Xenopus tropicalis: one gene and its partner. The protein of the gene in region 2 binds, or shares a complex with, the protein of the main gene of each other region. Links are inferred from orthologs where the notes say so. Each region holds a gene or a part of one and is shown on either strand. Other genes may lie near its edges.

Region 1 (12,166 bases), about 89 Mb from region 2:
TGCCAGTACTGAATCAAATTTAAACTATCAAGCCTGACATTCAAATTTAGAGCTCTGTCCCACCTTACACCTTATCTTCAAGTATTCACCAAACTGCTCATTGCACTCTTCTGATAATCTACTCGTCCACTCTTCACCCACTGCCTCTTTAGAAACACCATCGCTAAAACTGCACCCCTCCTCTGGAATTTCCTCCCATGTTCCATCAGTATTTCTCACAAACCTTCAGCCTTTAAATGATCTCTTAGAACATATGTCTCAAGAGAAACTTACCCTCATCTAGCTTAGCATTCCTTAATGATGCCCTATATGCCCCTGCCACCAACTCTATCTCTCTAGTATAATACCACAATAAACATATCTCCTTTGCTATTCCCGATCTTGTACAAAGCCACACCTTGGTTTTCATAGCCCTCTCTTTTAAGCATGTATGCTGATACAGGAACAGAACAAGGGGGAGCAGAAGGGCTGCGGAAGTGAAAACTGGAGTCTAAGAAAGTAAAGTAGGTAAAACACTGACAATCAATACACAAGGCAGAGACCCACTGACTTAATATCAGAGATCACAAAATATAAAAACCAACAGGCCCTAATTGTCTACGCATTATTCATGTGGGTACTGCTGCTTTTCTGGTTTCTTAGAATACTCTTGATTATTGGTAAATGTACATAATTTCATGGAACTTTGCAATATACGTCAATTTAAAAATATGCAGTCTTTTCATGATTTGTAATCTAATATGCAGGGCCGGAAGTAGGGGTAGGCAGAAGAGGCAGCTGCCTAGGGCGCAATGATTAGGGGGCGCCAGGCAGAAGCCTCTGCTGCCTACCACTGGTTCCCCTACATTGCCCCCGCCGCTAATGACAAGTGGCGGGGGCAATGACCCACGGCATCGCACACACCCCCCCCGAACTGTGCATGCGCACCAACGGAGGGGGCGGGGCGGGCGAGGTGGCCGACCGGGTTGCCTAGGGTGCCCGGACAGCTTGGCCCGCCCCTGCTAATATGGTTTGAAACAGTTCCTTAAGCCTGGCCCCCCTGCTGATCTAGCATTTCATGAAAATGGACATTTTATGGTTTCCTACCCAGTGTTTCTTCTGCCTTGTGAAGTAAATGGAAAATAGCAGGCAGGAACTCCTAAATACTGAAATTCCTTTATGATTAGTTCATCTTTTAATGCATGATTATCAGTATAAGTTACATCTGTAAAAACAGACCTCCTACTTTTTGGCCAGAGACCAAAAACAGACCATTTTATCTGACTGACTTGGTAATATTGCATCATATTTTTGGAAATATACTGTAAGTTGAATGAAAAATATTCTATCAAGAGAAGTCTCTGATTACAATTTACAGGCAAATGGGAATGCAAAATAAGCACAGAAACAGCAAGAAAAGCATTTCTTTAGTAAGAATGTGCACTTTAGGGATACACCAAATACTGGACCTGGTTCATTATCCTGTCCTAACACTGTTTGTAGAATCTAAACACTGGCACAAGTCCTTGTCATGGTATCTGAAGGGACAGTATATCCCCATGTTCAATGAATAGGGCTTGCGCTGATCACACATTTTGCCAAGCAGGGCAAACAGGAAACTGAAACTACTCTACGTTTAGAGCATGGTAGATAGATTCCCAGTCCACTGATAATCCATCTGCTTAATGGACTCCTGCTATAAATCAGTCACAACAAAGTGTGAGCCCTTCTCACTGTGTGTGGCTGGGTTATACACCAAAACTAGTTGTTGAGCACCAGTAAACTGGCTGACCAAGTATTTTTTAGTGTAGATAGCTTTATATATTTCTCATGCATCTCCCTATGACCCACCAATGGAATCAGCTCAGCCCTTTAGCTGGAGGTAGTGGCAATGCCTAAATAAAATCCCTTCCATGTTTCCCTTTTACTACAACAGATGGAATCCTGGCAGAACAGTTTCATTTTCATGGAATTACCCTACAGGTTAAAGCTCAGGCCCCACTGGGCCTCCTTCTCTGGATTCCTTTTGCTTTGCAAATGCAAATTCCTTACTTGAAATGCTTTCCATACAGGCAGTGATGTACAATGCCTTTAACTATAGATGCTTCTTATTTACAGGATTTGTTATCATTTCCCTGAAGGCAGAAGGTTTCCGCTATCCCAGATCCTTAAGAGGTTCCTGCCTAGCTGTTCCTGCTTATTCAGAGGCCAAGGTACAGACACATAGGAGAAACAGAGTTTCCCACAAGCACACACACACACAGGCCCCTAAAGCTCACACCTGGGGCTCAGTAGTAAGGAAGGTGCACTGCCAAGCAAGCATGGATGCTGCAAAAAGGGGCAAGAGAGGGCACCTGGAATTTTGCCCTCAAAGCCAACTCTCCCTGCTGTTGCAGTCGTTCCCACCTGTCTGTCAACATTATCATCCAGTAGCTGCCTTCATAGCCCCTTCTCTGGAAAAATAAAATCTCCTGCCTGCCCACTCCCATACTGTACGCCCTCAATACTGAAGCAGAGAGAGGCTGCTGAACATCCCTGGCTGTGTCCCTCACATACAGTTCCCTACTCTGTGCGTACATGCAGGGTCAGAGGCTGCTTGTGCCTGCAGTCATCACTAAGGACAGTGGAGTTAGGTGGGGATATTGGGGGAAGATCCGCTCGCTTGGCGATCTCACCAAGCGAGCGGATCTTACCGTGTATGGGGACCTTAAAGGTGGGCGATATCGGGGAGCTTGAACTTAAAAAAAAAAATTCCGATTATGTAGGCGGCAATGGGGCAGTCGGTTCGGGGACCGCATCAACGAGCCGATGCGGCCCCAGATTCGACTGAATCTTTTAACCTGGCCGATTGATATCTGGCCAATTTCAGGCCTGATATCGGTCGGCCAGCCTGCTCGTTTCTGCCCCTACACAGGCAGATAAGCTGCCGAGCCGGTCCAAGGGACCGATATCGGCAGCTTCTATCGGCCCGTGTATGGGGGCCTTTATTAGTCTGCTGGAATAACAGCTAGTGGTGCTAATGTAGTTGGACAGGCTTGTAGAGACCATATTGTCTGTAACAGTATCTTTCTTGCTACTAGATGCTATGTTCTGTGCTCAAACTGTTCTGTTCTAAAACTAACACTTTGCCTCCCCTTGGCGCCCCATTACTTACCTGTGTTAGCCGGTAATGCCTCTTATCCCAGCTTAGACCCAAGGGTGATGCCGTACTTTAGGGCAGAGTAAAGACCCAGTAGTCTGGAGCACTGTATACATATGTCCTACAGCCTAGCCCTAGGTCTTTGCCTTTCTCCCCTAGCCCCAAATTTACTCTTTATTGTCTTATAACAGTGTCCCCTTGGTATATGTTCCTATATAACCTATAACTCATCAAATTCACTGTGGCTAAAACATCAGTTTGAAAGTCATAGCAACTTTACATCCATTGCTGGAAGCAGCAGATCATGACTACCAGCTAGAATTAGCATTACAGATAAAACAACAGATGTCTGAAACTGACTTCAAAGTTCTAGTCACCATACTCTCTAAAAACATTTTCCATATAGGAAACAGCATGAAAGAAGGACTTGATACCCCTGTACGATCTCTTTCTGGGCAATGTATGCCAGCACTATACAATGAGAGAGCTTAGGGACTCTGTATGTCTGCGATGCCAAGACTCTGACAAGCTTTACTTATGTCGGACTTTCCTGTTTACATAAGAATTTGAATAATTTCCCGCACTCTAACTATGGCGAACTCCACCTTCCTTTGTTTAGGGTATTTCAAAGACTTTGTTTTGCAAAAGGAGAAAAAAATGCAAAGTTTAAAGGATGTGAAAGAAAAACATAAAAGAGAAAATACAGTTATATTATATTTGGCTGAACTCAACAAATCAGGTAGGGGACCAGACTTTCTGCTTAAGGGAGGTTTACTGACACAAGGATGGCACAAAAACAGACCGAAATAGCAGAAATAATGCAGTAAAAAATAGTTTTATTTAAAGAAAAAAATCTCACAAGGACAAGCCTTACACATTCCATGCCGAGCTTGAAAGGCACTTAATCATTGGCTCAAGTTGCCCCTCAAGGCACGGAATGCGTAAGTCTTGTCCTTTTGAGGCGTTTTTTCTTTAAATAAAACTAACAGTGCTCTTCAAAAGCCTTTCCCAGTTAATAGTTCATAGGAAAGACTTCAGAAAGTTCTTCTGAGGCTTCTGACCTCCTTTCTGAGCAAAGCAACATCAGAACAGCTTAGTTTTCTTTTTTAACATATATTTCCCAGACTGTGTAGCTGAAAGAACTGACCAGCAGGTGGCGCTGTTGTTACATAAGGTATTATATTACCAGTTTATAAACTGGAACCAAAAACATTCTGTTAATAGTAAAGGTGCTTGTAATTTTACATCCGCACATTTATTACGCTGCCATTCATGCTAGTGGCAGACTTTACTTCACCACACAAAATGTATTTGTATATTTTTGTAACGCCGTTCTTTCTGTATTAAACAGAATACAGAGACTTTTATAGCTCAGCTGAACTCAGCAATTCATGAGAAATTCGCTTTTACTTGGGAGAAGACAATGACAGGCGCCATACCATGCCCTATAAACCCGTTACGGGCCAGAGAGACGGGACCAAAGTCCCGGATAGAGAATTGACCCGTGTGACTCCACCGGCGGGCACGGCTCCATCCTCTCATGCACGCCTCCCAGCAGCGGACGCGCGTCCCCGCCACGCCCAGTAGTGCGCGCCCCCGGTCCCAAGCTCAGTCTCTCGGCCAGCTGTGAGGAGCTCGTCCCGGCTCCGTTATCCCATCCCGTGTAGGTAGGAAACAAGGGTTGCCCCAGCAGTAGCCGCCATGTTCAGCTGGTCGAATAAGGATACTCGGAGGAAGAAAGAACCGGAGCTTTTCCAGACGGTGTCCGAGGGTCTCCGGAAGCTTTACACACACAAGTTGCTGCCTCTGGAGGAGACTTACCGCTTTCATGACTTCCACTCCCCTGCCCTGGAAGATGCCGACTTCCATAACAACCCCATGGTGCTGCTGGTGGGGCAGTACAGTACGGGCAAGACCACCTTCATCCGCCACCTCATAGAGCAGGACTTCCCCGGCATGAGGATCGGGCCCGAACCCACCACCGACTCATTCATCGCCGTCATGCACGGGCCCGTGGAGGGGGTCATGCCCGGGAACGCGCTTGTGGTTGACCCCAAGAAACCCTTCAGGAAGCTGAGCGCCTTCGGCAATGCCTTCCTTAATAGGTAACCCGTGTGTAGGCTTCAGCTTGGGGGGCACTGTAGGGTAAGCAGCCCACAGGTCGCAGCGATTGTCCCTTGGAAGCATGCGACAAAGCATTAGTGAGAGCCAGTCTTGCACCTCCCTGAGCTCAATGGGCACAGTCTGGCTCAATAACATTAGGCCAATGGGCACAGTCTGGCTCAATAACATTAGGCCAATGGGCACAGTCTGGCTCCCTAACATTAGGCCAATGGGCACAGTCTGGCTCAATAACATTAGGCCAATGGGCACAGTCTGGCTCAATAACATTAGGCCAATGGGCACAGTCTGGCTCAATAACATTAGGCCAATGGGCACAGTCTGGCTCAATAACATTAGGCCAATGGGCACAGTCTGGCTCAATAACATTAAGCCAATGGGCACAGTCTGGCTCAATAACATTAGGCCAATGGGCACAGTCTGGCTCAATAACATTATGCCAATGGGCACAGTCTGGCTCCCTAACATTAGGCCAATGGGCACAGTCTGGCTCAATAACATTATGCCAATGGGCACAGTCTGGCTCCCTAACATTAGGCCAATGGGCACAGTCTGGCTCCCTAACATTAGGCCAATGGGCACAGTCTGGCTCCCTAACATTAGGCCAATGGGCACAGTCTGGCTCCCTAACATTATGCCAATGGGCACAGTCTGGCTCCCTAACATTAGGCCAATGGGCACAGTCTGGCTCCCTAACATTAGGCCAATGGGCACAGTCTGGCTCCCTAACATTAGGCCAATGGGCACAGTCTGGCTCAATAACATTAGGCCAATGGGCACAATCTGGCTCCCTAACATTATGCCAATGGGCACAGTCTGGCTCCCTAACATTAGGCCAATGGGCACAGTCTGGCTCCCTAACATTAGGCCAATGGGCACAGTCTGGCTCAATAACATTAGGCCAATGGGCACAGTCTGGCTCAATAACATTAGGCCAATGGGCACAGTCTGGCTCACTAACATTAGGCCAATGGGCACAGTCTGGCTCCCTAACATTAGGCCAATGGGCACAGTCTGGCTCCCTAACATTAGGCCAATGGGCACAGTCTGGCTCCCTAACATTAGGCCAATGGGCACAGTCTGGCTCCCTAACATTAGGCCAATGGGCACAGTCTGGCTCCCTAACATTAGGCCAATGGGCACAGTCTGGCTCCCTAACATTAGGCCAATGGGCACAGTCTGGCTCCCTAACATTAGGCCAATGGGCACAGTCTGGCTCCCTAACATTAGGCCAATGGCACAGTCTGGCTCCCTAACATTAGGCCAATGGCACCTCTGCTGCCCTGTGGGGGGAAAAAGTGGCTGTCAAAACGCCCCTGTCCGCTCTGTATTACTCCGCTTGCATTGAGGTTTTCCCATTCACTGCTCAGCCAGGGCACTTACCATTATATATAACAGTGATCCCCAACTAGTGGCTTATGAGCAACATGTTGCTCCCCAACTCTTTTGATGTTGCTCCCAGTGTCCCCAAAGCAGGTGCTAACTTTTGAATTTCTGGTTAGGAGGCAAGCTTTGATTGCATAAAAACCCAGTGCAGTTGCCAAAGAGAGCCTTCTGTGGTCTCCCAGTCAACATAGGGGCTACCAAATAGCCAATTATAGTTCTTATTGGTACACCCAGAAACTTTTTCCATGCTTGTGTTGCTCTCCAAAACTTTTTCCATTTGAATGTGGCTCACCGGTATAAAAGGTTGGGGATCCCTGATATATAACATAATGAGCAGTGACAGGGGCGTGCCAGGGGCGTTTTGCTAGCTTCTAGTTTCTGCTGGATAACCTACTGGAAGGTAAAGTTCCCCTTAATAGCCACAATATATGGCTGCAGCATGTCATAGGTTTGTGTTGGTTCCATTGCTGTAGAACAGGGATCCCCAACCTTTTATACCCATGAGCCTCATTCAAATGGAAAAATTGTTGGAGAGCAACACAAGCTTGGAAAAAGTTCCTGGGGGTGCAAATAAGAGCTATAATTGGCTACTTAATAGCCCCTATGTGTACTGGCAAGCCTATTGGAGGCTCTGTTTGGCTTTACATTGAGTTTTATGCAACCAAAACTTGCCTCCAAGCCAGAAATTAAAAAATAAGCACCTCTTTTGAGGCCACTGGGAGCAACATGTTGCTCACAAACCACTGGTTGGGGATCACTGCTGTAGAACTACACCCAGGGGTGCTGGGAGATTGAAGTGTATCATGCAGGCAGCTCTGGGTGTGTAAACCCCCCTCCCCACCCTCAGCAGCTGAGTACTGTCCTGGGGGCTAAACTTCCCCAGCTGTTGTGCCGCTCTGGTCAGAGCTGGTCACTGTAATCTAAGAACAGCAAGAGGCTACAGGATGATCATAACATGCTAAAAGTTTTAGCTATATTGCAAATATATTAAAATGTTGTATTGAATCCTAAAATGTAGTAGAAAATGTGTGGAATATAAAAATAAGCTAAAATATATATTTAAGCATGGCAGCCAGGGATTTACAACGCTTTTGATTGCTCAGCAATGATATTGGACATGGGTGGGTGGAGTAACAGACCACTCACGTGAGTTTTAGGATTGGGGCTTTTCAAAGCTGGAGTCATTAATTGACTATAGTTCCCATTGTGAGTTATAAACTACTGCGAGACTTAAAGGAACAGTAACACCAAAAAATTCAAGTGTATAAAAGAAATTCCAATATAGTGTACTGCTGCTCTGCACTGGTACAACTGGTGTGTTTGCCTCAGAAACACTATTGTGGTTTATATAAAGAATGCAGCTGTGTAGCCATGGGGGCAGCCATTCAAAGGAGAAAAGGCACAGGCACATAGCAGATAACAGATAAAACACTATTGTATTCTACAGAGCTTATCTGTTATCTTCTATGTAACCTGTGCCTTTTCTCCTTTTTTCCAGCTTCAATGGCTGCCCCCACGGCTACACAGCAGCTTATTTATATAAACTATAGTAGAGTTACTGTAGCAAACACACAACTTTTGCCAGTGCAAGGCAACAGTACATTATATTTAATTTACTTTAAAACTCTTTAATTTTTTGGTGTTACTGTTCCTTTAAGTGGGTTTTGCTCTTTTAGATGAATTAAGGGTGAGGCCATCAATGCAAAACATAGATAAAACCTGTGTATGTTTAGCATTGGCATTCACTTCTGAGGGTACAAAACCATAAAGCAGATTTATACAGAGGAACCCACCGTGTATGCATGAAAATATACCTGTGTGTTTGTGCTGTTACTCTGCAACTGTTCCAAAGCAATTATTTATGCTTTGTGTGCGGAAGTAATTCTGTCTGGCAGTTTTAAGCCAAACTGATCCAACATCTGTCCCAAAACAAGGCAGCATAGCGTCGGCCTATGTGTGCTGCCATCCATAAAAATGCCTCCCTGAATTCCCTAAGAGAAATGGTTATTTTGTGAGTTGCAGATTGATGGCCTTTCCTGGTCAGTTTGTTGTTCTATACGTGTAGCCAAAGATCATCCCAACGTTCTGTATCCCCATGATTGTGATTCAATAGGAAATGCCTGCTCTTTTGGCGACCTCTCAATGTATGGCAATCTTAAAGGACACCCATGTACCCCACTGGGCCGCCTGCACTAGTGGGGGAAACAATATTTGGGTGATAGGTGCCCTTAAAGACCCAGTAATGTCAAAAAGTGGAAAGATATACTTTAAACAAATACAAACTTTAAACATAACCAGCTCCTACAAATTAACTATTTCTTCTTGTACTATATCAGGGGTGGCGTCGACCGCGATCCACCAGTCGATCCCCCGTGGATTTCTGGTGGACCGCGTCTAAGCCTTGGGATGTGGAAGTGCAGCACGTTTATTGGGTATGTGTACGTACGTGGGGAGGAGTCAAAAGTAGATTGTCTGGGCACCCCTGTACTATATTATACAAGAGATTGGCCCCTGTTTATCTGGATAATAACTTAAACCATTGTATTCTATACAGCTTATCTCTTATCTGTTGTGGCTTTTGCCTTATTCAGCTTGAATGGCTGCCCCCATGGCTACAGCTCTGCTTATTTATACAAACTAGTAGTGTTTTCAAAGCAAACACAGTGATTTCCAGTGCAGGCCTTAAAGAAGTGATCCTCATTCAGTGTCTCATAAGCAACTTGTTGCTCACCAACCCCTTGGATGTTGCTCTCAGTGCCCCCAAACCAGGTAGTTATTTTTGAATTCCTGACTTGGTGGCAAGTTTTGGTTGAATAAAAACAAGATTTGCTACCAAATAAAGCCCCCTGTAAGCTGATAGTGTGCACAGAGGCTGCCTAATAGCCAATCTTAGCCCTTATTTGGCACCTCCATGAACTTTTATGATGCTTGTGTTGCTCTCTAAGTCTTTTTACATTTGACTGTGCCTCACGAGTAAGAAAGGTTGGGGACCCCTGCCTTAAATGAAAAGAAATGCCAAAAAATGAAAGTGGTTTAAAGTAATTAAAATATAATGTACTGTTGCCCTGCACTAGTACAAATGGTGTTTTCTACAGAAACACTACTATAGTTTATATAAAAAAAGCTGATGTGTAGCCATGGGGGCAGCAGGGTTTCTGAAGCAAACACACCAGTTTTAAATTTATAATCCAGTATATTATAATTCCTTTTATACAATTTTTTTGTTGTTACTGTTCCTTTAAGTGTAATGTCCCATGGAAAGATTAGTTGCCCAAGACTTCTACCGCAGGCGACTAAACTCTCCAAAGTGCCTTTCCACCTGCAACAAAGCGAATCGCAGGTGAAAAAGACCTACGCGTTGCTTTGGTTTTCTGAAGTGGATGAAGTTACCAGCTGGAGGAAACTTTGCAAAACCTAAGCGATGCGTAGGCCTTTCTGCCAGCATTTGTTGACGTTGGAAAGGCATTTTGGAGAGTATTAGATTAATCTTTCCCTGGGACACACTAAGCGAGTAGTGCCCCGCAATAAATCTCCTCTACCGTGGGCTACTTATCTCATGCATATGTGGTGTGGCTACTTTTTAAATAGCCCAAAGTTCCCTTGAGAGGCAACTTTAGTTCCTTTTTTCCCCCCACCAAGTAGGTTAATGGGGCTACAGCAGATGACAATAGAAATGGTCTTAAGGCTCTTTGTGTAAAAGATGCAGTTATACTCAATGAACACGGACTGCTCTCTAAAACATCTTTAAGAGGTTAAGTTGCCTTTATTTGTAACAAAATGGAAGTAAAGGCATTTAAATCTCTTAAAGGAACAGTAACACCAAAAAATGAAAGTGTACTGCACTGGTAAAAGTTGTGTATTTACTTCAGAAAGTCTACTATAATTTATATAAATAAGCTGCTATGTAGCCATGGAGGCAGCCATTCAAAGGGGAAAAGGCACAGGCACAGAGCAGATAACAGATAAAACACTATTGTATTCTACAGAACTTATCTGTTATCTGCTATGTAACCTGTGCCTTTTCTCCTTTTTTCCAGCTTGAATGGCTGCCCCCATGGCTACGCAGCAGCTTATTATATAAACTATAGTAGTGTTACTGTAGCAAAAACACCAGTTTTACCAGTGCAAGGCAACAGTGCATTATATTTTTATTACTTTAAAGCTCTTTCATTTTTTGGTGTTACTGTTCCTTTAAATACTTCAGAGTGCTGTCCAAGTTAAAGGAGCTTTTGCTGCCTGTGAAGATGTGCAGTCTGCAGTTCCCTGAAGTGCTACATCATTTCTAGAAAGCCATGCTATTTTTGTATACTAATACTTTTGCTTTCATATTATTAGCAGCATTTGTTTTGAGTCGTGAAAAGATGCCTTTTTCTTGTACAAAGGGTCAGGCATTAGTAAGGCGTGGCACAAATCTCTGGCCTCAAACATTTACAGATGCAACAGACCAAGCACCACCAAGCTACAGAAACTCAAAGCAGAATTGTCTTGCAGATATGAAAGCAATAAAACTGGATAATGTGCATATTTAGATTACAGCTGACCTCAGATCACATACACTGTAGTAAAAATACCAAATTGCTTTTATTTTCACTTTTTAGGACCATCAGACTCAGAATATGCATATCAATTTTGGTTAGTTGAAAATAGTGGGCATGAGTCTGAAAGTGGTGGTGGAGGGTGGGGTGTTGGTAAATGGAACAAACTGAAAATGTCTGGTTTTGTGCATTACACAGGTCCTGGAACTACTTAGTGAGTAAATATCCTTCTGTTATTCAGCATTGTGTCCCTTTGAATACTTTATATCCTTTGCGATCATGGTTTTTGGTTTCTTTTAGTCTATGGTAAACCCAAAAATTAGATATGCTGTAACTTGAAGTTGCCCCTCTTTCCTTGGACTTCATTCCCCAGAATGCGCTACTAAACAAGGACGAGGGAGGGGTTCAATGATTCTGCCAGATGGGGGGGGGGGGTAGAGAAATGGGCCATGCAAGACTGTCATGGTTTGTATGTATGTATGTATATCTTTATTTATAAAGTGCTACTTATGTACGCAGCGCTGTACAGTAGAATACATTAATACAAACAGGGGGTTAATAAGATAATAGATAAATACAAAGTATAACAATAAATACAAATAAATACAAGATACAGTTACAGTTGCAATAAGTTAAGAGTCAAAGACACAAGAGGATGGAGGTCCCTGCCCTGTAGAGCTTACAATCTATATCTATATGGTTTCCTTTCAATCTGAGGAATCTTGTATAACTGGTTTAAAGATTTTTAAATAGGTACAGGTATGTGATCCCTTATCCAGAAATTTTTTTCCAGAATGATGGGAAGGCCGTCTTCCATAGACTCAATTTTAATTAAATAATTCAATCTTTAAAAAATTTCCTTTTTCTCTGTTACAATAACCCAGTGCCTCGCTCTTGATACCAACTAAGATATGATCAATCCTTTTTGGAAGTAAAATGGGTTTAATTAATTTTTACATTTATTTATTTTTTTCTTTAATAGACTTAAGGTATGTAGATCCTAATC
Region 2 (11,595 bases):
ACTAAAATATATATTGCTGATCATTTACTGATAATTATCTCTACGTGTGCTTTAGCAGATCCAATTCTCAGTATTGTCTATGGCTGGGTTTAGTAGCAAAAAAGTAGCTGAAAAAGTAGCTGCTACTAGTAGCTCTGTGTGTCTTCACTCTTAACTGCTGGCCTGCAGGAAGCTCTGCAGGAAACTGTGTCTCTGTACTTTCAAATCCTGCCTTCAAGCCAGAAATTTAAAAATGGGCACCTGCTTTAAGGCCATTGGGAGCAACATCAAATGGGGTGGGGAGCAACATGTTAGGGCAGTGGTACACGGGGAGATTGGTGGCCCCGCAACAAATCTTCGTTTGTTGCGGGCGAATAACCTCCCCGCAATGCCCCCCAACCACCTAGAATGTAAATCGCCGGTGGGATGGCATACACGTCGCTGCGGTATCCCGCAGTCGCCCGAAGTTTCCGCTCAAGACAGCTTTGGGAGACTGCAGGACATTGCAGCGACGTGTATGCCATCCTACAACAGGGCGACTAATCTCCCCATGTACCACTGCCCTTACTGACGAGCCACTAGTTGTACTAGACAGATGAAAACTTATTAGAGTTAGTAATGTTTGTGTATCAGCCCCAGCATGTTGCTAGAGGGTTTTGTAGGGTTAATGACTTAAATTGCACATTGAGTTGAAGTAAGACACTGGTGATCTCATAGACATGTGAGAACAGGTTTTGGGGTTTGGCAGATGCTGGGGTGTGCCTGCAGATTGCAGGTATGTGAATAAGATAAAGTCACCAGACGGGATGCACACTGTGTATAGCATCCCTTGTGTCTACGTGTACAGTTCTGCCCCAAACTGCTACATAAAGCACTTTAAAATATATATGGTCAAAAGCAGCTTTTTTATCTGTTCAAGCTACCCTTTCAGATTTAACATTTTGGTCAGGCCCCCTTAGCTCATACCAAGTTATAGACATATAAACACTTGCTCTATTAGCAATTCAGCCATAGTCACATTAACATAAAGTGCAACTAGTAATTGTTCCCCACAGATCTCACCTAGACAAAACTTCAGGCTGAGAAGCAGGGGAGGCAAAAATCACTTGCCTAAAATGTTATATCTCTTTTCTGGGTCCCTGCAAGAAGGGTAGCCCTCGTTTTCTTTAGCTATGACCTGCAAGAGATTAATAAAAGAGATTAATATAGGACTAATAAAAGGGCTAACTTGGCCAGCTAGGATATTATTTTTAGTTTTTCCCAGCTGCTCTCTTACTGGCCTTTCCATGTCTCCCCAAATACTGCACAAACTGCAGAGCTTTATTGGCTAAATTATACCAAGTAACTATGTAGCTATGATTTAAAGGAACCCTTATGGCAAGAAATGCTTTATATTATATACCACTTTCTGGATAACAATTTTCCAGATACCGTAACTGATCCCATACCTGTACTAAACTTACTGTACCAACCCAGTGGTTCAGCAGCCCTATAATAGTAATGATACATGCCTTCAGTGTTGTACACAGGAGCTCCCCAACTTGTGATCCTGACAAGTATATATATATATATATATATATATATATATATATATATATAATACACCAATAGGTCCGCACTCCCTTTAATTAATCCTTTAGGCAAAATGAGCGGGTGCTACATAGAGTTGTACCTTGTATGTTTCTCCAAAAGTTATGTGCACTCCAGCGTAGATCAATTAGCTTTATTAATAACTTACATCATAGCTCAAACATCAACGTTTCGGTCCGTGTCTAGGACCTTGTTCACGATGTCAAACCCCACTATATATACACATACATACACATACATACACACACACAATATATCTCAGTAACTGCCAGCAGCACAGAGCATGTGCAGGGAATCAGCAGAAAAGAAGATGGGGAGCTACTGGGGCATCTTTGGGGGCACAGGGCTGTGGTGAATTTGGGCTGGTACAGGAGCCCAAAATATAAGGTGTAAAATCTCCAGCATAGTTCTTTGTGGAGCTATAATTTTCCTTTAGGGTAAGAACACACAGGATGTTTTGTTTCCATGTTAAATCACCTCCAGCAAAGGGCAACAGATTGATCAAAAATCCCTTTGCATGGTTGTTGCAAAAATCTCTGTGTCTAAACCAATTGCATTGCATAATTGCCAGAAAATGCTGCCTTTAGCAAAATGTCCTGTGTGTTCTTACCCTTAAATGGACTCCAGACTTCTTATTACAACAAGCAGCTGAGTGTTGTGCTTAGAGCGGCCAAAGCTTTAATCAAGAAAAGCTACAAATCTGAGTCACTACCATCGCTCGCATCAGCCAGGGATGGGGGGGGGGGGGGACTTTTTAAAACTGTTGCCCTCCTAGTACTTTATTGGAAGTTCCATTGTGTGGAGTGTGTTCCATTATCTTCAGCAGAGATCACCAACAGCCTTGTGACCTTGTTTCAAGTTTCCACCGTCCTCTGTATGCTTCAGTGAGCAGGGCCCTATTCCTTATTTCTGGCTATTTATGTCCTTTTGTCAGTTTCACTGCTCAGCAAACGCTGACGCTTTATTATATTACCTCAGTCACCATATGAACAGGCTAAGAAGCCAAGCTGTGATATATATATATAATATATTTATATGTATGCTGTGTCACTGCTACAACATTTGGCTACTGAATTTACCCTGTCTGTTTTGTTTCATATAATGGCTGCTAATCCTGGCTTTCACTTCTAATTTTGGAACTGCCTTTCACCGCTACACTGACCAATATTATGGTTCTGCCTTCCCTTGGGCTTGGCCATTATTGTTGCGGCACTGTACCTCATTAATAAGCCATGGGCCAGTAAGACATGGACAAGCAGGTTATATTAGTGTGCTTAAAGATTTGTCATAGGGAAAGTTATACAAACAAATATCTGGTAACGTTTGGAATGTGCGTTTCACCTGTCTTTGTATGTGATACATATATTTATGTATATACACAGTCATGTTACTGTAATGCAAGAGGGCACTTATTCGATTGAATTTTTAATATAAGTATTGTTTTAATTCTGTAGGTTTTTTGTTGTATACCAAAACTCATTTGACACTACTAACATCCTCTCTGGTGCTATATTCATGAGAGAGGCATATAGTCATTACCTTCCTTTCACATTGCCGTGCCCAGTGGCATAACTACAGAGGAAACAGACCCTGCAGCTTCCAGGGGGGCCACAAGGGTGGTCCCATATAAAGGGGTGCCCTGCATGTTTTGCAGAAGACATGAGATTTCATGTGGGGGGCAAGAATGTAAATCGCCGGTGGGATGGCATACGCGTTGCTTCGTTTTCCCAAAGCCTTCTGAAGTTGCCTCTCAAGGAAACTTTGCATGACTTCAGGAAAACGAAGCAAAGCGGTAACAAAGATCTCCTCGTGTGCCACTGCCCTTAAGGACGGATACCTCAGGCAAATTCCTGCTGCTTTAAGTCTTTCAGTACTGGTGCTAAGGAAGTGAGATTTTAAAAAGTTTAAAAAATTAAGAGGCAAATCTGTTGTGTGAGTGTATGTGTGTGTGTATATATATTGTTATTTCCTGATACTTTATTTTCCATTGCTTCTGTGTAAGAGTTTTCTTTCACTGTCAGTCATGCCCTGCATGTTGCCACAGTCTCAGGTCTGCTCGTGATCGTCTTGTCAAACCTCATTCTCGTCCAAGACTAATTGAAGTGTTCTAATTCTTTTACACAGTGCCAAAATGGGCTGTGTTCTAATGTTATTATGGTCATGGCCAGCTGAAGGTTATAATTATGGAATACTCCAGGCATATCATTAGCAGGAAAAACAGCCTTAGTGTGGTCATGGCCTGTACAGAGCAATACTCTGCAACACAACCAGCATAGGTATTCCCCTTACTAAGCACAGTTTAACTAGAAAATGTTAGGGTATTTTGACCTAATGAGGGGTTAGTAACAGCTCCAATCCTTAATAGTGAAAGCATACCCTGTCTATAATATATGGTTTAATGATTGTTGGGCATTATTCACCTAAAACCTTCCCACATTTAGTTCAGTGCTCTTGTGTTCTTAGGCTTTTGAAGTGGCTGAACGGGAACTGGGTATTCCAGCTTTGCTTGATCCAGAGGACATGGTGTCCATGAAAGTGCCTGATCGACTGAGCATCATGACGTACTTATCCCAGTATTATAACCACTTCCGGAATTCTAGTCCAGGTGAGCATAGTGCAAGAGGAAAGGCCATTACGTTCTACATGATCCAAACTGACCCCCAACTTTTTAACTCTTTTCACAGTGGGAAAGCCTCAGCTGAAAGAAACCTCTGAGTCCCCCAGCAAAGAGCCCAGTGGAGGTTCCTTACCTCAGGTAGGCTGGAAGCTGTTTCTCTTTGGACAGAAATGTGCTTTTACCTATAGCACGTGATGAGTCATAGTGGCTCATTTATAAGCATTGGGCACCTTTGCACCTAGGCAGTAACCTATGGCAACCAATGAAATTTTGGTTTTCACTGCTAAACCTGTAGATTGTAAGCTCTTTTGGGCAGGGCTCTCTTCACCTCTTGTATCGGTTATTGATTGCTTTATATATTACTCTGTATGTCCAATGTGTGAAACCCACTTATTGTACAATGCTGCGGAATATGTTGGCACTTTATAAATAAATGTTAATAATAGTAAGAAACCTGCAGCTGACTGAAAAAAAAACACGCATTGGTTTCCATGGGTTACTGCTCATGTGCAAGTTTGTCCTGTGAATCGGGGGTAGGCAGAAGAGGTATGTGCCTAAGATGCAATAGAAGAGGGTTCTAGGCACATACCTTAGCTACCTGCCTACCTTTAGTTCCAGCTGGCTGAGAGAGGAGCTATGTTGCACCTCCATTCTGCATTACATCACACACCCTCCCCTCATAAACTCTGCTCCCCACCCACTCCTCACCTCACTGTGGCAGGTGGGTGATTAAGGCAAGGAATTGTGCCTTGGGCACACCTTACAGTTAGCCCGGTACTGCCATAGACTACTAAGGGCAAAGCCCTTCATCATTTGTTTTCTTTTTTATCTTTATTTAGGGAAGCCCAAATGCCCAGACCTCTTTGATCCGTAGCTCAATAAGCAGCACCTGTGCTCTGTGCCAGCAGCATGTACACCTAGTGCAGAGATACCTGGTAGAGGGGAAGCTTTATCACCGCCAGTGCTTCAGGTTTGTTCATGTTTAAAATATCACTTTGCTTGTTTTTTTCATTTACCTGCAATTCTACTAGTTAATGTACTGCATCCTGTTTCACTTTCTCACAGATGTAAAGAATGCTCAAGTACCCTAGTTCCAGGAGCCTACCGCCCAGGCACTGATGCCGGCACTCTGGTTTGCACTCACCACTGCCACCGGCCACCAACCAGCAGCCCTGAATCTGAAGAAGATGGCACTAAGCAAAAAGCAGTTCAGACCCCTCCCAAACCATTTGTGCCAGAAAAACCTGCCTCCTCCAATAAACCTCCAACAGAATTGCATCCTGATCCCTTTCCTAACATGCGACCAGTACCAGCTCCAAGAAGAACAAGTGATGTGGCCCCTCAGCCTCTGCCACGCTCCCGTGCAGCAGCAGAATCAAGCCCAGTGAGGCCTACATCTCTAATAAATGGTGAGGAGATAACAAATCATAAGGGGGAATGGTTATCCAAACAATTACTGACATTCATTGTGCTTATGCAGGCGAACAACAGTCTCCCGCTCCACCAATACCCAAACCAAGAAGCAGACAGAGATCCTCAGAAAGGTAAGTGTGCACATACACTCGGTAGAAAGTTAACACAGTTGCCACCAGAAAATCCACTGGGCGAGGAGAGTTTCTTCTAAGCACTGCTTTCCCAGGGCAGCCCTGCGCGAATCTATACGTAGAACATCTTGATTTCTCTTCTGCTCATGTGCCTAGCTTCAGCAGGTGCAGGGGATGTCTGTCAAAGTTAAAAATGAGGACAGCTTGCTGTGCTCAAATAAAAGTACCCTGGACTGGTAAGTATTTTAGTAAGAGGTGCACCACCCTACAGTAGCAGGTTAGCAATTAGAAGCACTAAGGGTGCAAAACAAATTAGCACCTCCCCAGTTATGTTTACTTTGCTTCCCCTACTACTACTATCTCTTGTAGTACAGGCTGTGACAAATGTAGGGGTGATCTACATCTGCTTTCGGTTTTTAGTGCCTCCTTCAGTTTCTGCTGCTGCCACCAATACTATTAGATGATGCCAACACCAACTAAGCCTTGCTTCCATGTTATTCTGATATAGGGTTAGCAATCAAGGCCTTGACTCACTGATTTTTGGAGAAAGGAAGGAAAATTTAATAAGAGAACAGTGACAGTCATTGGCACAGCAGAATCTGCAGTAGTTGAAAATGCCTCTAAAAGGAAGAACCCTGCAACAGAAAATTATTATATCACACATTATTTTGTACATTGTAGTTCTCTTTTTGCCAAAAACAAAGGAGAAATAATAATAGGTAATTAATGTAGCATAATTAATCTCACAATACTGTTGCAACAAATTGTTCTTTTTTTAATTTATCCCTTTCGTACAGGCTTAATCAGTGCTTTATTATTTTATTGAACAACTGAGCATGCCCACAAGCCAGGAATCAAAGCAAATTACCGAGGGGGGGGGGGGGGGCGAGTGGGTTACAGGAGGAGAAGGAATTCTAAGTGATTAAGGGGATGCTGCAGCCTTACTATGCAGGTATTGAAAGATTTCAAAGAGGCTGTTCAATGTTTACATTTTTGTGTGTGGGGTTTACATGCCTTTTTTAGCATAGTACAGTAACTGTAAGTAGCACATCCCAGATTTTGGCCAAAACTGTAGGGCATCTGTTATTCCTAGTAGGCAGAGTTCCAGGAAGTAAATGTTTACGAATGCCAGCTTCTCCTCTAAGAATCGCAATACTGCACCCCAGAACCTCTGAATTACCGAGCAAGACCAGAAAACCTAGAACAGAGATCCTGTCTCATCCTAACTTTTAGGACATCCAGTCACTGATTTTATTATATTTCAGGTTAGGGCAGTTCCAGAGCTTCATAAGTCATCTGCTTTACTTGGTGCTTTTTTTGTTTTGATGCTGTTTAGGGAGGATGAAGAAAAACAGAAAAAAAATCCTCCTTGGCTCTCTCTGGTTCCTGCGACAGAGCCCAAAAGGAGAGCTGCTCCCCCACCTCCACCACTGGCTCAAAAGCCGGAGTTAGGAGATGAGAAATCTCAGAAGTCTTTAAATGACACAGAAAAGCAAAGTCTCTCATCAAAGCCAACAGCCTACAATCCATTTGAAGATGAAGAAGAGGAAGCGGAAACAAGTTCTCTAAAACCAGGCCACCCATGGTATGGAATTACACCAACCAGCAGCCCCAAGAGTCGCAAAAGGCTAGCACCTAAAGCTCCCAATGCTTCACCTCTGGGTAAGCCAAAATAGCTTGTATTTACCCGCTTTATCTTGCTTATCTCGCTTAATCTAGATGTTGCTATGGGGTCAGAGGGTTCTCAGGCCAAAAACATGGATTAGAAGGTTTTTAGGCAGATAACTTCTTGTGCTAGCAATGTCAGGTAGTTCCCATTTAAGTTTATGAGAAATGCCATTGGTGGTTTTTGTCAGTTCTCCACTTGCTGAAACCCTCCCTTTGTGCCCATAGCTTAGGCTGGCATCAGTGGATTGGAAACAATTAAGTGTCTACATTGTAGAACATTACTGCCTGAAATGAGGCACAGAAGCTATATAAGCTAGCTGGGAGTTACCACAATCTTTCTTACCCTATGGATCTGTAACCAAAAATGGGTTCCCATACTGTTTAGGGTGTTTTGCCTTTAATACAGTATTTCTTCTGAAAGGAGGAAATAGCAAGCCAAATTAGGCGCAAACACTGATTGTACACCACATTTTAGGTTGCAAATCTGATTCTGGGCCTTAGAATTGAACATAGAATACACAATTATGTACACAGAATTTGAAACGTTTATTGTAGAGCTTTCTTCCATAATCTTTAAAAAATGCAACCTCCTTGTTACAGTGAAGAAATAGAACCTCTCTTGAAAATATATCCTGCCAGCAACAGATCATTGTTTTGTTATTGTTGTTGCCACGCCCTCCCTCCCTGTGTAACCAGAAGTTTGTTTATATGAAGGCTGTATAAACAAGCCTCTTCCTCTCACCAGCACCAACCTTTGTCTTTGTTTACACATGGATCAGTGTTTATTATACAGAGGGTTTTACTGTGAAAAGTAAACTGTGTGTCTTTTCCTCCTTTCACATGCCCTGCATAACTAGGAAGTGGAAAATAAAAGTACTTTCAGTTTCACTGAATGCAGCTTAGTGCAAGATATATCAAATACTGTTATTGCAGCTTTACAGCTATCTACTGAGACATGCTAGTGCTGGTATATTTACATAGACACTAGGTGGGCTACAACATAGTTTGCAGCAAGTCTATTTACCCATACCAACTTGATTGCTGTGGGTTACTAGACCATAGCGGGCACACTGTAACTTTTATTACATTTCTCCATAATTGCTTTAATGACTTTTATGTATGTTTCTTTTTTAGCTCATCATTCTAACCTAGTGTCAAGACTGTCTCACTCGGAGCCTCCCTCGGGCAGCCCTTCCCCAGCCCTAAGTACAGAGAGCCTTCCAACGGATGCTTCCACAAAGGGCCAGGATCCTGAGAGTGTTCCCAAAAGCTCATCTGAACCAACTATCCATTCTCCAAACAAGCCAGAACCTTCAGATAGAGATACTACTACCTACCTCAGCACTGGTGTCCCCAGTACTTCTACCAACACCAGCCTTTCTTCCTCTAGCGAATTAGCTAATACTAATGAAGCACAAGAAAGCCCATCCCCAGAAATGCCTCTTAGTCCAAGCCGACCTGCCCCTCAAGTACCTACCATCTCCATTCCTAGCACAGTGGCATCAGACAGCACACCTCCAGAGAAAAAGCCTCTAGCAAAGGTGAGTGATAGGGCTGGTCTAGAATTTTTATTTTTTTTTATATATTCTTTATTTTGCTTTTCATAAGAAATGGGGGGGTACAGAAGGGAAGAGGGAGGGGGGGTTGGTCTAGAATAATTCAAATAAGTTTATGTAATATACCAAAAGCATCATTTGTGACACGGAGTTAGCATAATATCCAGACATGATTATTTGGCTATACACAGTGTGATAGTTGGCCATTGTTTTTTTAATTTTTTTTTTTTTTAAAAGATAGTTTAACCATCACACTGTATGACCTTTATTCTCCTATTTAAAGGAAAACTATACCCCCAGAATGTATACTTAACCAACAGATTATATTATAGGTTTTATATTATAGGTTTATATTATGATAAGTGACCTATTAAAGAATCTCGCCAAACTGGAATATATATATCGGTAAATATTGCCCTTTTACATCCTTTCCCTTGCTCCCTCACATGACACAGATCACAGATCACATGACATGAAAATAATGCAGCTCTAACAGAAAGTAGTGTGGAAGCAAAAGACAGAACTCTGTCCATTCATTGGCTGATGGGACCTAACATGTATGTGTGTGCCTTGGCTTGTTTGTGTGCACTGTGAATCCAATGATCCCAGGGGGCGGCCCTTAATTCTTAAAATGGCAGTTTTCTCTTTAGGATTACCCAATAGCACATACTACTAAAAAAGTATATTTTTATGAAAATGTTGTATTTAGATAAAGCAGGGTTTTACATATGAGCTTGTTTATGTAATATATTTTTATAGAGACTTACATTGTTTGGGGGTATAGTTTCCTGTAAGCAACTAAAATTTCTAAATGGAGTTTGTTGTTCAGTAGTGAGTATACATTTGGTAAATGACTTCATTGGCTTACAGGAGAGGTCTTTGGTTAACAGGAAATGGCAGGAACCATACGTCTAATGGGAACAGGCCTGAACAGGCAGTCAGCAGTTTCTGGCAAATGCCAGAGGGGCTGCTGTTTAGTGACATAGACAGTTACTGTTTATTGGGCTGGTATGGGTATCCCAGTCTGCGTGGCATGCTTCTGCTACAGTACTGGACAGATATCTTGGTATATTTCCATTGCAGCTAGGTATACAGGTGAAGGACATGCAAGTTGCAAGATCATAAACAGCTGCCATAGCTTCAGTTGCAGGGTGTTACTGCAGGAAATGGTTATTCACCTTTGAGTTAACCTTTAGTATGATGTAGAGAGTAATATTTTGAGACAATTTGCAAATGATCCTAATTTTTATATATACGTGGTTTTTTTTAATTATTTCACTTTTTCTACAGCAGCTCTCCAATTTCAGCAGCTATTTGATTGCAATGGTTTAAATTACCTTAGCAACCAGGGAGTGGTTTGAATGAGAGACTGATATATTTATAGGAGAGTATCTAAACAAAAAAAATAAGTAGTAAGTTGTAACAATAACAATAAAATTGTAGCCTCAGAGAGCAGTAGTGTTTTTGGCTGCTGGGGTCAGTGACCCCATTTGAACCTTGAAAGAGTCAGAAGAAGAGGGCAAATAATTCAGAAAGTATAAAACATAAATAATGAAGACTAATTAAAAAGTTTTCTTGGAATTGGCCTTTTTATAACATTAAAAGTTAACTTAAAGTTGAACCGCATCTTTAATTACAAACCTCACTAACTGTGGTAAAGCTTGAAGTATCCTGTGCAGGAGAACCATGATATACAGAAATGTTCATTATGGATTGCTGGGGTGGTACAGGTATGGGACCTGTAATCCAGAATGTGTGGGACCTGGGGTTTTCTGGATAAGGGGTCTTTCCATAATTTGGGTTTTCATACCTTAAGTCAGTTAAAAATCATTTACACCTTATATAAACCCAATAGGATTGTTTTGCCAATAAGGATTAATTATGTCTCTTTCTTAGTTAGGATTAAGTACAAGATATTGTTCTGTTATAAAGAAAAAGGGAATATTTTAAAAAATTTCAAATTATTTGCCTTAAATGGAGTCTATGGGAGATGGCCTTGCTGTAATAATGGGTTTCTGGATAATGGATCCCATACATGTATTGTTATTATTACGTTCTGCTCTTTCTTTCCAGCAAATTTGCAAACAGAATCCCTTTAATAGGAAATCCTCTCCTGCTACATCTCCCATCAACAAAAGGAACCAGAAAGGTCCAAAACCTTCCCGACCCCCTGCTCCAGGACATGGGTTCCCCCTTATAAAACGCAAGGTAAACCAGTCTAAGCCCTTCTTCGTGTTCTTTTCTTGTGTTTTGTTTACTGCGCAGTAAGAAGTCAGGACAGTATTGCTGGGCCCACATGACTTATTGATATCTGTTAAAGCAAAGCATGGCTCACACTATCTTGTTGTAAAATTCCCTGGAATCCATATGTGAGGCAAACAGCGTGACTGTGACCGTCAGGATTCTTCGGAATGCCAGTTGAATGAAATTAAGTTAAAGGGTTGTTATATAAACCCTACTTTTTATATGTAATGGTTGTCGGCCATGTTGTACTATATGCACAGGTAATTCTGTAGCAGTGCCTGCTCATGTATATATGCAAGTAGATAGAGAAGGAATATTCAGTGCACAAAGTAAGTGCTTTGAATTCTAATTCTGAATTATTACCCCATCAGTGCCACCCTTTATCTTTATTTGCTCT

The links.
Region 1: the proteins of micall1 (region 2) and ehd1 are in contact, whole or in part, in an NMR structure (PDB 2KSP), measured with the Homo sapiens proteins. The link is inferred for Xenopus tropicalis from reciprocal best matches to the Homo sapiens genes MICALL1 and EHD1. Residues at the interface, in NP_203744.1 of Homo sapiens: Lys422, Tyr424, Asn425, Pro426, Phe427, Glu428, Glu429; in NP_001269373.1 of Homo sapiens: Gly464, Ala467, Lys468, Met471, Asn478, Leu481, Gly482, Trp485, Lys486, Lys492, Asp493, Gly494.

The regions. Positions count from the first base shown.
Region 1 is NC_030680.2:32,909,109-32,921,274, forward strand, and holds the start of ehd1 (EH domain-containing protein 1), read left to right. Parts: upstream 1-4,744; 5' UTR 4,745-4,819; coding exon 4,820-5,223; intron 5,224-12,166. UniProt on the Homo sapiens protein: ATP- and membrane-binding protein that controls membrane reorganization/tubulation upon ATP hydrolysis. In vitro causes vesiculation of endocytic membranes. Acts in early endocytic membrane fusion and membrane trafficking of recycling endosomes.
Region 2 is NC_030680.2:122,124,988-122,136,582, forward strand, and holds part of micall1 (MICAL-like protein 1), read left to right. Parts: intron 1-4,032; coding exon 4,033-4,174; intron 4,175-4,253; coding exon 4,254-4,324; intron 4,325-5,025; coding exon 5,026-5,156; intron 5,157-5,251; coding exon 5,252-5,595; intron 5,596-5,666; coding exon 5,667-5,730; intron 5,731-7,066; coding exon 7,067-7,392; intron 7,393-8,532; coding exon 8,533-8,939; intron 8,940-11,027; coding exon 11,028-11,162; intron 11,163-11,595. UniProt on the Homo sapiens protein: Lipid-binding protein with higher affinity for phosphatidic acid, a lipid enriched in recycling endosome membranes. On endosome membranes, acts as a downstream effector of Rab proteins recruiting cytosolic proteins to regulate membrane tubulation.